2 linked regions of the Yarrowia lipolytica genome follow. The protein of the gene in region 1 interacts with the protein of each later gene in a pairwise test. Links are inferred from orthologs where the notes say so. Each region holds a gene or a part of one and is shown on either strand. Other genes may lie near its edges. The genes, in order: YALI1_D13611g and YALI1_B09266g.

Region 1 (7,922 bases):
TGCCTTCTCTATTTATTCCTACTTGCATGAACTGTTCTGAGTCGTTCCCGCAACCGCTCAAGGGTCTCCAGAGCGGCTTTTCGGCCACTGTCAACTGTCGGGTGTGCCATATTCGCATGACGGTTCGAATCCCCCAGTGCACATTTGAGGTGATTGACGATTATGCAATCCCTGCCGACCGTCTGAAGAAGGTGCATGTTCGCAAGCGTGCCAAGGAGAATCTGGGGATTAAGATTGGCGAGCCTCTTCCTAACGAGGGCACCTGTCGCCACTACAAAAAGTCGCACCGATGGCTCCGGTTTTCGTGCTGTGGCAAGGTATTCCCCTGTGACAAGTGCCACGATGACATAAGCATGCATGTTGCCGAACATGCCAACCGAATGCTTTGTGGAGCCTGCAGTCGAGAGCAGACCATTACCAAGGAGTGTGATTCGTGTGGATACTCCTATGTTCCTCGTCACAGTGCCCATTGGGAAGGTGGTAAGGGCATGCGGGACCAGACCCGAATGTCCAAGAAGGACAGTCGAAAGTACAAGCGACTGTAGCGATAGTCATTTGCATTCTACGTACATTAGTATTGTATGTACATTAGTATTTAATTCTCAGACTTAGTACCGCTACTTGTAGCTACTGCATTAGTATTTATCATCAACCCTGCTGTACTTGTACTCTACCAATATCAATATCGGTTTAGACTGGGCACGTGAGCTTCCTAATGCAACGGTTCCAGATGCGTCGATCCAATTTCGAGGTTGTGAAATCTCCGCAGATCGATTAGGGGGTAGATTGAAGCGACGTATTGCTTTTGGCGAGCATCCGAGGATCAGGCTGAAGCGATTATGTCGATGCTATATATAGACTATTTACCCCTGGCTGGGGGGATTCAAGGACGTTTATACGGAGATGGAAGAACGGCTGGATCCTGTTTCCCCCCAGTGAGACAGCGACGGGGGTTCCATGGGCACTTCACGTGACCATGGCAGTCCTATGGCCCTATCTCTGGCGCCCCCCTGGCGTAGTAGTGCATATAATACTGGGTCTCCCTTCTCTACCTGACCCGATCTTATGCACCCCTATGTACTGTGCCGGAGTTAATGGTGGGATGCGGTGAGGTACAGGCGAGATCCTCCAGGGTACCCTGGTATCCTATGTAGTGTATGGCATGTTGTATGTGGTCTAGGTGTGCAATATTGCTAGTTTCGAGCGGTGCTATCTTCCTACCACCCCATTTATCCTACTATTGCTGTCGTCAAAGGGGTCTATAACTACTTTGTCGGCACAATACCAAGCTTAGTGGGCTAGTGGGTTGGTGGGTCAGAGGGTGAACTCTATGGTGGACAGTTGGGCGTGTGAATTGGAGGTGAGGCGCGAAAAAAAAACGGTTGCAGAGTGGGGAGCAACACGGTCAGCTTAGGCCCAGTTAACACGTGGTCTTGTGTACTGCGGGGAGGGTATCAGGGGCCGGTCAAGTTTGCTCCTTCCTAAAGGGAGTATGATTCTGAGACGTCAAGCTCTCTCTCTCTCTCTCTCTCCCTCTCTCTCTCTACTTGCACTTTGTCCGTATATCTCCCAACTCCGTTCTTCGCTACTCGCAGTGCGACTCTGTTGCGCCATTTCGTATCCCTTCTAATAGTTTAACTCTAGCAGCCATCACTCGTGTCTGCAAGACAACCCAAATCCACAGGCACCCAATTCAGAACGTGTGGATCACCGTCTTGCTAACGGATACACAGACCAGCACTATTACGAGACTTAGAGCTGCGACACGAGCGAGGGAGAGAAAGCGATACTGCGACACACACCAGTGACACACACACACACAGTGACATTCGGTATTTAGTGGAGGGTGAGTGAACAATGGAGGTGGCGAGCGGGGGAGGGGGACGAGGGACCAGTGGAGCAAGACCACCGCGGACAGCAGCTGAAGATACACAAAAGAGTGCAATTCCAAGAATCATATGTCCACGGTGGTCGCAAAGGATCCACACAGCCACCCGGGACGTGTACCATATGGCGCTCACTCCTGATGCTAACACAGATATGAAACGAAACGAGGCAAAGAAACACGACATTTCTGGCCCTCTGCCAGACTCGGCGTCCATCCGAAGCAGTACAGCGGGAAAGCTCCAGTCGGTAACTCAGGGCCTGGGCCTGCGAAAGCTGTCCAAACAGAACTCGGTGCGGTCCCTGGGATCAGACACGTCATCCATCTACTCCCACAACGATCCCGACGGCGGAAACTTGCATACCATACCGACCAACTCGTCGGCGTTCTCGTCGTTGGCCTACGACAGCATCTCGCAAAAGTCCAACAAGCCCATCCACGTGCCGTATCTGCCCGCAGCAGGTGATAATGCGTCTGGATCGGGGTTTGTACCCCAGAACATCTCGGCGCCCATTCCACCGCTGCCACAGCAACAGCACCATGGCTCGCTACACAGTCTGCCCAACATGTTGAAGACGGGCCACAGACGAAAGTCGTCCATGTCCTCACACGACACCTCTTCGACCGAGGCAGAATCGACACTCAGCGGAGGATCACGGCCGCCCAGCATCAATAGCGCAAGAGAGTCAAGCATCTCGTTGGCCCGAATGGACCTGGAACACCCTCCGGACGAGGCAACCATCCACCAGCTGTATATGCAGCTCATGAACAAGCGAGACTTCAAGAACCTGCCAGAGGAAGCACGACGACAGATGATCAGCTATCCCACCGACAAAAAGTGGACGCTCATTGTCCAGGACCATCTGGCCGACCATCAAAAAGGACGACTGCGACAGAGTCACCATACACCCCATCTTCCCACACCATCACAGTCCAACAACTCACATTCACCTGAGTTCTACGTGCGCAAGATTCTTGACAATACCATCACATCCAAGCAGCTGGGCAACCTTTGGGTTTCACTGCGAACTGAGCCTGTTGACTGGGTCAGAGATTTTATTGATGCCCAGGGGCAGGTCGCTCTGGCTGCATGGCTCCAGCAGATCAACTCGCGAACCAATAACAGCGAGGGCTTCCTGGACAGAGAGTACGACATTGTGCGATGTCTTAAGGCGTTGCTCAACCTGCGAGATGGTGCCGACCACGCTGTTCGAACTTCCAAGTGCGTGGCACCCATTGTCAGATCTTTGGTGTCCCCACGACTGAGTACACGGAAGTTGGTGACAGACGTTCTGACGTTCCTGGCACATTGGGACGCACCTAAAGGCCATGACCAGGTTCTGGCGGGTCTTTCACAGCTCAAACAGCACCTCAATGAGGTGTCCCGATTCGACGCATGGTTCAGCGTGGTGGAACAGACATTAGCTGGCCGAGGGAAGTTTGGCTCTCTTGTTGGGGCATCGGACGATCTTCGGTCCGGAGGAGTTTCTATTGAGTCCCTACTTATGGAATACTCCCTAGCCACCATGTTCCTGATCAACATTCTCATTCAGGGCGTAGAGGACATTCGGGTGCGAGTCCACCTGCGATCCCAGATGAAGGCCTGCGGCTTGCCTCGTATTGCAGCTCGGATGCAGGCACTCAACTATGATCTGCTTACCGAGCAGCTGCAGAAGTACGACGAGCAGGCTGCACTGGACTTTGAGGATTTGGTTGCTCTTGATCGCCAAGCCAATGTGGGCGACATGACTGACCCTGTGGCGATAGCCGAGGAGATTTGGAGCCGTGTGGAGCACACGCAGGGCGAGGGCCACTTTGTGTCGATCATGCAACACCTGCTGCTGATTCGAGAAGACCCTCGAGAGGACGGAGCTCGTATGCTGCAGCTGGTGGATGCTGTGGTGACCCATCTGGTGATGGATAGAATCATGCCAGACGTTGATTTCCGCTCGGTGGTCAACTTCTCGGTGCAGTCACTTTTGGGTAAGCTACACACTGACGACCAAGCACGGAGGGCGATACTCGAAGCAAAGGAGGCTCTACGGGATGTGGAGATAGCCGAGGCTGAGAAGATGCGCATGGAGGAACAACTGCAACAGGGCTCGGATGGAGTCATCAGCAAGCTGCACCAGACGCTGGAGGAGATGGAGCACAATGCGCGAATCTCTCGGCGCCAGAACGATGCTCTGCGATCCGAGCTTGAGGACGCACGTGAACAGTCGCTAGTCAAGCTGCAGGAGCAGGAGCTGGAGATTCGAGAGCTTTATATGATGCTCAAGGAGCGAGAGGTTGCGGCGGCCGACACGTCCATGGTCAGCACCGAGGGCGGAAAGTCGCAAGGCATCATTGATCGACAGCGAATGCTGCAACGTCTGGAGCAGCAGGTGCATCAGAAGACTGCCGAGTACGGTTCATTGTCAGTTGGCCGCAACCAGGTGGAACCTTCTCCTCGTCTGCGAGAGCTGCGAGACCGAATGGAGGCCCTTCAGCTTCAGGCACGTGAACTTGAGAGCTACGACTTTGACGAAGATGAGTTTGATACCGAGGAGCCCGATGCTTCAACACCTGCTCTCACCAAGGAGGATCTGTATGCTCGTCGACTCGAAAAACTGGAGCGGCTAAAGAAGCTCCAGGAGGCCTCGGGCGAGCTGGCGCTGTCGTTCAACGCAGCAGATGTCTCCAAGCAGGATCTATACGAGCGACGATTGCAGCAGGTTGAGCGGCTGCGACGTCTTCAGGAGGCTTCTGGCGATGTGGCTCTGGCCATGAACGACCCCGGTATTCAGCTTTCTGCGGAGGAGATTGAACTCATTGAGCGGCATCGACGCGGTGAGAAGCAGCAGCAGGGCCAGCCCCAGGCTGCCACAGCTACCCTTGTGGAAATTAGAAAGCCCAAGGCTGTTGCTGGGGACGGGAGTGGAGGTGGAGATGGTATCGGGTCTGGCTCAGGTACTGGAAGTGGCAATGGCACTGGAAACGGTCCTGATGCTGCCACCATGCCTTCTATTCACGACAGACCCAGTGCTCTACCGTTTGCCAACGAGCTTGTGGCCAAATTCAAGGGTGGCAAGGGTGGTGATGGTCATGGCGATATCGATAGTGCGGATGAGGATGCAGGCGACTCCTCTGTTACACGGGTCAAAAAGGAGACCAAGACAGAGCCTGAAGACGTGGTCATCGAAATTGACGACGAGCCTGAGGCTAAGAAGGAGAAAGAAAATGCACATTCGCCAGTCAAGTTTACTGGCGGACCTCCGCCTCCGCCTCCTCCGCCTCCTCCTCCCATGTTCACTGGAGGACCTCCTCCCATGTTCACTGGAGGACCTCCTCCGCCTCCACCACCTCCTCCGCCTGGCTTTACAGGTGGTCCTCCTCCGCCTGGCTTTACAGGTGGTCCTCCTCCGCCTGGCTTTACAGGTGGTCCTCCTCCGCCTCCTCCTCCGCCTCCTCTGCCTCCTGGCTTCACAGGTGGACCTCCTCCTCCTGCTCCGGCGTTTGTTGCTGGTGCGACGCCCTCGCCGTCTCCTTCTCCCCAGCTTCCTTCAGGTTTCGAAACACCCATCGGACGGCCCAAGCGAAAGCTCAAGCAGATGCACTGGGAGAAGCTGGAGAACGTGGAGCATACCTTCTGGGCGCAGCTGTCTTCTGGCGATGTAGAGGCTGACCTGTACAAGAAGGGCATTTTCGACGAGGTAGAGCGAATCTTTGCGGCCAAGGAGGCAAAGAAGATGATTGGAAAGCGGGGCGCCAAGGAGGGCGACTTTGAGAAGCTTTCTGTGATTGCACGAGACCTGTCTCAGCAGATCGGTATCAATTTCCACACCTTCAACGACCTGGGTGTTCCCGAAATTGTCTCCGAGCTCATGTCTGTGTCCCGACGGGTCCGAAACCCCGTTCTCCTCGAGTTCTTGCTTAAGGACGAGGTTCTGGAGATCCCCAACAGTGTGACTCGTCAGCTTACGCCTTACTCTACTCGGTTCGAGGATGGTGAGGTGCGTGAGCCCGAGAAGAATGTGGAAGACCTGGAGCGGAACGACCAGATCTACTTGCAGACGGTGTTTGATCTCCAGCACTACTGGCGACAGCGAACGCGGGCAATCTTGATGACGTGCACATTTGAGAAGGAATACAGTGATCTGGTGACCAAGCTAACGTCTGTGGACGCTGCGTGTGAAACTCTCAAGAATTCAGAAATGCTGCGCCGAATCTTCCTCATCATCCTGTCTGTGGGTAACTACATGAACGACGCCAACAAGCAGGCCACAGGCTTCAAGTTGGCAACTCTGCAGCGTCTCATCTTCACCAAGGACGAGAAGAACACAATAACCTTTTTGCATTACGTCGAGCAGCTGGTTCGAAACTCGTTCCCTGAGGTGGACTCTTTCATTGACGAGCTTGCTCCCGTGTGCGCCATTGAGCGTCTCTCTGTGGAGCACCTGCAGAACGACTGCAGAGACTACATGCAGAACATCTCCAACATTCAGACTTCATTGGACGTTGGAGCTCTTTCGGACCCGAAGCGGCTGCATCCTCGAGACCGCATCATCACACACATGCATCTGCACATGGACTCAGCTCGTCGGAAGCGCAACTTTCTGCAGGATCATTTGCAAACTACTCTTGCCGAATTCTCCCAGATCATGCGCTTCTTCGGTGAAGATCCTGGTGACATGCAGTCTCAAAGCACCTTCTTTGGCAAGTTTGTTGCCTTTGTGAAGGAGTACCGAAAGGCCAAGGATGAGAACCTGCATCGAGAGGAGGAGAATCGAATCTACGAAGCTCGAAAGCAGCGTGCATTGGCGAGTCGAAAGGCTGCTGAGGATGCTGCCGCTGCGGCTGCCGAGTCTGGAGAGAACCTAGTCATGGATGATCTGCTGGAAAGACTTCGAAAGTCTTCTCATGGTGCTCGGTCAGCTCGTCGACGAGCTGCAGCCCGCAAGAACCAGGATGCTTCCTCCAAATTGTACCAGGAGAACCTCATTGAGGATGCTGACGACTACGACAAGTCCATCATCATTGAGGGTGACACCACCGAGATCCGGGAGGGTTCTCCAAATGCCGATGCTGACACAACAGAAGTGCAACCCGCAAGAGATGACGAAGCAGACACGGAAGCTCCAGCAGTAGCGCCGTCATCACGTACGTCTACTCGCCTGTCTGTTGATGTGTCTCGTGGTGACGTGCCAGAGGGGGTTTCGACACCTCGAACTCCTCATGAGACAGAAGACGCTCACACACCTGATAGAGCTGTTCCTGAGGTGGCAGTTACCACTCCCAACGACGACGACGACGATGACGTTGGTACCCGTGCGCAGAACCTGCTGCAGGCTCTGCGGTCTGGAGGAGCATCTCCTCGAGGCCATCGAAGCACAGGATCCGTTGGAAGCATGTCTCAAGGCCGACTAGCAGAGATGCGAGCCCGAAAGGCTAACCGACTGCGAAACAAAATGTCGATTGGCTCCGACTCGGACCTGGGTCCTCACCTGTCGCCTTCGGCGACCAACCGGTCGCCCAGCGCAGCGGAGAAGATCAAGGTAGAGGAGGATATTGAGGCGGAGAGGCGAGACAGTGCGGAGCCCGAAACTGAGATAGAGTCGTCCGAGGAACCCGATTCTCCCACCCCCCGGCGACCAGGTACGGCTTCGTCCCAATCTTCCAGATACACAAATGATGAAGAGTAAAACTACACGATTACATAAACAATGCATGATTGACTAATGAGAGAAATGTTTCCATGGATATATGAAGTTGCAGTCGATGTAATCATGGAGATAGTTACAGTTCGAGTAGAGTACGTACAAGTACCTATACATACTTGTAGCCGAAGATAAAAAAATCTTGACATTTTGTATTGGGGAAGGGTATGTCATGAGTCCAGCACCCAAGTACATACAGTACTCGTAGATGAATGGCTTGTTTCTTACTTCAACTTGTTTCATAAACAGGGCTGATAGCCTGCTGGATAGGTTAAAAAGTTGCAGTTGTACTCGCAGTACAAGTACACTACTTACTTGTAGGTCATACTAATGTTACTAAT
Region 2 (3,219 bases), on another chromosome or scaffold:
AATGTCTGACGTAATGTATTAACAAATTGATGCTCTTTCATAATACCTTAACAAATTGACCCTCTTCCAACTAAATACAACAATATCGTGTACAAATGCACCTGAACGACAGACGCAAGGAGAGGCGGCACCAGTACTAGTACAGCGCCTGTACCGCCATGCCAGAGATATAGAATTCAATATGAAATGGAAATCGAGTCCTGCTGAAGACCCTAACAAGCCATGAGAGACACACTCGACTCTGTCTAGCACAGTACAGTCTACCAATAAAACAATCATGTCCCCATACCACATCCAAGCAGGGATAACACGTTGCCTACGCACACAAACAAACACTCTCTCGATGAGATACGGTCTCCTCCTACCTGCATATCCACACCTTTGCCAGACTATCTAACCAACACCCCTACCCTCCACGCGGTATATAATGAAACATGTTAGAAATCTATATCCATATCCTACTCGGACTCGTCATCCTGGTCCTCTGAGTTCTCCTCAGACTCGGGCTTTCCCTCAGACTCGGCCTCAGACTCGTCGACAAACTCCTCGGAGTCAGACTCCTCCTCCTTTGTCTGCTTCTCGTCAGCAGTTCTCTTAATCTCCATCTGGGGCTCCCCAGAGTCATCAGAGTCATCGTCGTCGCTGTCGTCGTCGTCGTCGTCGTCTTCTTCATCTTCTTCATCATCATCACTCTCCTCCTCCTCAACCTTGGCCTTCTTGGGGGCCTTTTCCAAAAACTCGTCGTCCTCGTCGTCCCCCTTGACCTCCTCATCGGCGCCAGCCTCACGCTTCTTCTTGCTCTTCTTGGTGGTGGCAACCTGCTCGGCCCGCTCGAGATCCACGTCCAGCTCGCCGTTTTTGATCTGCTCGGCAAACTCCGCCCGCATCTTCTCACGCTGCTTGGACGACTCGGCAGTCTCATCCACAGCACCATTGGGATACAGAGAAATGTACTTGATGTCGTTGGGGAAATGGATCGTGTAGGCCAGGTCGGCCATGTACTTGACCACCAGAGCCTCGGCGTCCTTCTTCTTGGCATCCGAATCGGCCTGCTCCACCAGCTTGCGAGCCTGCTTGACCTTTCGCGACGCCTTTTGCCGCTCAAAGAACCTAATCATCCGGTACTTTTCAACGTTCTTCTTGTTCTTTCGGTCGCCAATAATGTCCTCGGCCTGCACCTTGTACGCCGCCACCGCCCGCTCCAGCTCGATTCGCTTCTGCTCGTCCATAGGAACCGGCCGCTTGAGCACCCGCTCCAGGTCTCTGATTCGCTTCATGATACGCGTCAGACCGTCGCCTGTCTTGGCTCCGCCCACCTCTCGCGGTCCTCGTCGCTTTCGGTTGTTTGTGTATCGTCTTTGTGTCGGAGGGGCCATGTTGTGCGCGGAACTCTGGTGCAACTTCAGTGCCCTACAAAAATATCCTTGTACAGTTCCCAGTGCATGCAAATATTTTAAGGTTTGGGACCAATGGAGATAACGGAGTTAGCCCTTCATATCCGGACATTCCATGCAGACACACGCCTGTCCGGTGGCCAGGGGAACTCGAAAATGCAATACTATTATAGAAAAGCCTCGAAGACTCAGGGGTGCATCAACGAGGCGGCAGATGAGATGTTTGATCGGGGCGAATCCGCCATCTTGCCAACCATGGAGATATCTACCTCCTTATTAGCCATACTACGACTCAGCAATTTTGCAAGTTTCACTCAGGCTAATTACTACTACAAGTAGTAGGTACAAGTACATAGTTCACCGCACCCGCACTGAACTGTTAGGATTCCAGCTCTCCCACTCGTGGTAATTAGTTCCAATCCCACGGCCGCCAAACTGACTCAGACTCGAACTCAGACGCCACTAGACGTGGAATTAGACCGGGTCTAGAGGATAGAGCAGAGACATGGTTGGAGCAAGGAGGAAGACCCGTACATGTCAAAACAGAGTAGCAACCAGAACGAAAGACGGAGGGAGGAGGGTCCACGTGGGGGGGGGGGCGCGGGCGCGGCGCGGGGGGAAGACGTCACGTCTCGTCACGTGTCTACGACCCCCCCCTCCTCCAATTAATCACACCACAAACCCAAACCAATCCATCTTGTCTCCTTACTTGTTCACTCCCCCCCCAAGGTTACCCTACCGCCAGATCACGCACGTCCAAGTGTACATATCTGTAGCTGCTCCTAACACGACATCTCATCTTATACTCACTACCAAACAACACACACAACACACGAAAACATGTCTTGGCAAGGTGAGCAGCTAACGGCACGCTGAGCGGGCGCAATTCGCTTCCCCCCCCCACAGCAACACTAACACAGCTTACGTTGACAACCTGGTTGGATCTGGCAAGGTCGATAAGGCCGCCATTTTCTCCCGAGCCGGTGACTCCGTCTGGTGCACCACCTCGGGCTTCTCCGTGGCCCCCGCCGAGGTCTTGGAGCTGGCCAAGGGCTTCGACGACCCCTCTCCTCTGCAGGCTGGCGGTCTGCACATTGCTGGCCAGAAGTACTTCCTTCTGCGAGCCGACGACCGATCCATCTACGGAAAGCACGAGCAGTCCGGCATTATCGCCGTGCGAACCGGCCAGGCCATCATTGTGGGCCACTACCCCGAGGGCGTGCAGCCCGGAGAGGCCACCAAGGTCGTTGAGGCTCTGGGAGATTATCTCATCAATGCTAACTATTAGTGAATGATATTGAATGATTGGAAGTGACGACTGACGACATGTGGAGGGTGGGACATGCGAGCGGGAGGACAGGCGACAGTTGCAATTGAACCTGCAGAAATGATCCAGACTCCATACAGTTGACATCTGGTCCCGCTTGTCCTCTTCACGTCACGTGTCCTTTGTAGGAGAGGTGACGTTGTAGTCACTGTATTACAGTACATACAGTGCAATACAGGTACAATTGTACTGGTACTTGTAACTAACAGTACCGTGTAATGTAATTGCTGGTCGTAGCACACCGGCCCCCTTCACGTGACCATCTCCGTTTCCAATGCTCTTCCCCATCCGCGTAGTGCTCGATTGCCACTGCGCAAGGTAGTAATTAACTCAATTGGCGATGACGAGATCAGCAACGGAATTTGGAGAGGGTAATATGGAGATAATATCTACGTCATAATAAGAGATCCAAGGCAAACGACACCGGCCTCTACGAACAAGCACCATATCTATACATCTATGCAACTACTTGACCTGGATCCACCCAATACCCCGTAT

Evidence for each region.
Region 2: the proteins of YALI1_D13611g (region 1) and YALI1_B09266g interact in a two-hybrid assay, tested with the Saccharomyces cerevisiae proteins (3 studies listed by BioGRID). The link is inferred for Yarrowia lipolytica from reciprocal best matches to the Saccharomyces cerevisiae genes BNI1 and PFY1.

The regions. Positions count from the first base shown.
Region 1 is NC_090773.1:1,359,254-1,367,175, forward strand, and holds YALI1_D13611g (uncharacterized protein), read left to right. Parts: upstream 1-1,857; coding exon 1,858-7,566; downstream 7,567-7,922. Other genes in the region: YALI1_D13574g (uncharacterized protein), read left to right, coding at 1-545. UniProt on the Saccharomyces cerevisiae protein: Required for the assembly of F-actin structures, such as actin cables and stress fibers. Nucleates actin filaments. Binds to the barbed end of the actin filament and acts as a leaky capper, slowing both polymerization and depolymerization.
Region 2 is NC_090771.1:924,453-927,671, forward strand, and holds YALI1_B09266g (uncharacterized protein), read left to right. Parts: upstream 1-2,234; coding exon 2,235-2,247; intron 2,248-2,314; coding exon 2,315-2,682; downstream 2,683-3,219. Other genes in the region: YALI1_B09258g (uncharacterized protein), read right to left, coding at 459-1,376. UniProt on the Saccharomyces cerevisiae protein: Binds to actin and affects the structure of the cytoskeleton. At high concentrations, profilin prevents the polymerization of actin, whereas it enhances it at low concentrations. By binding to PIP2, it inhibits the formation of IP3 and DG.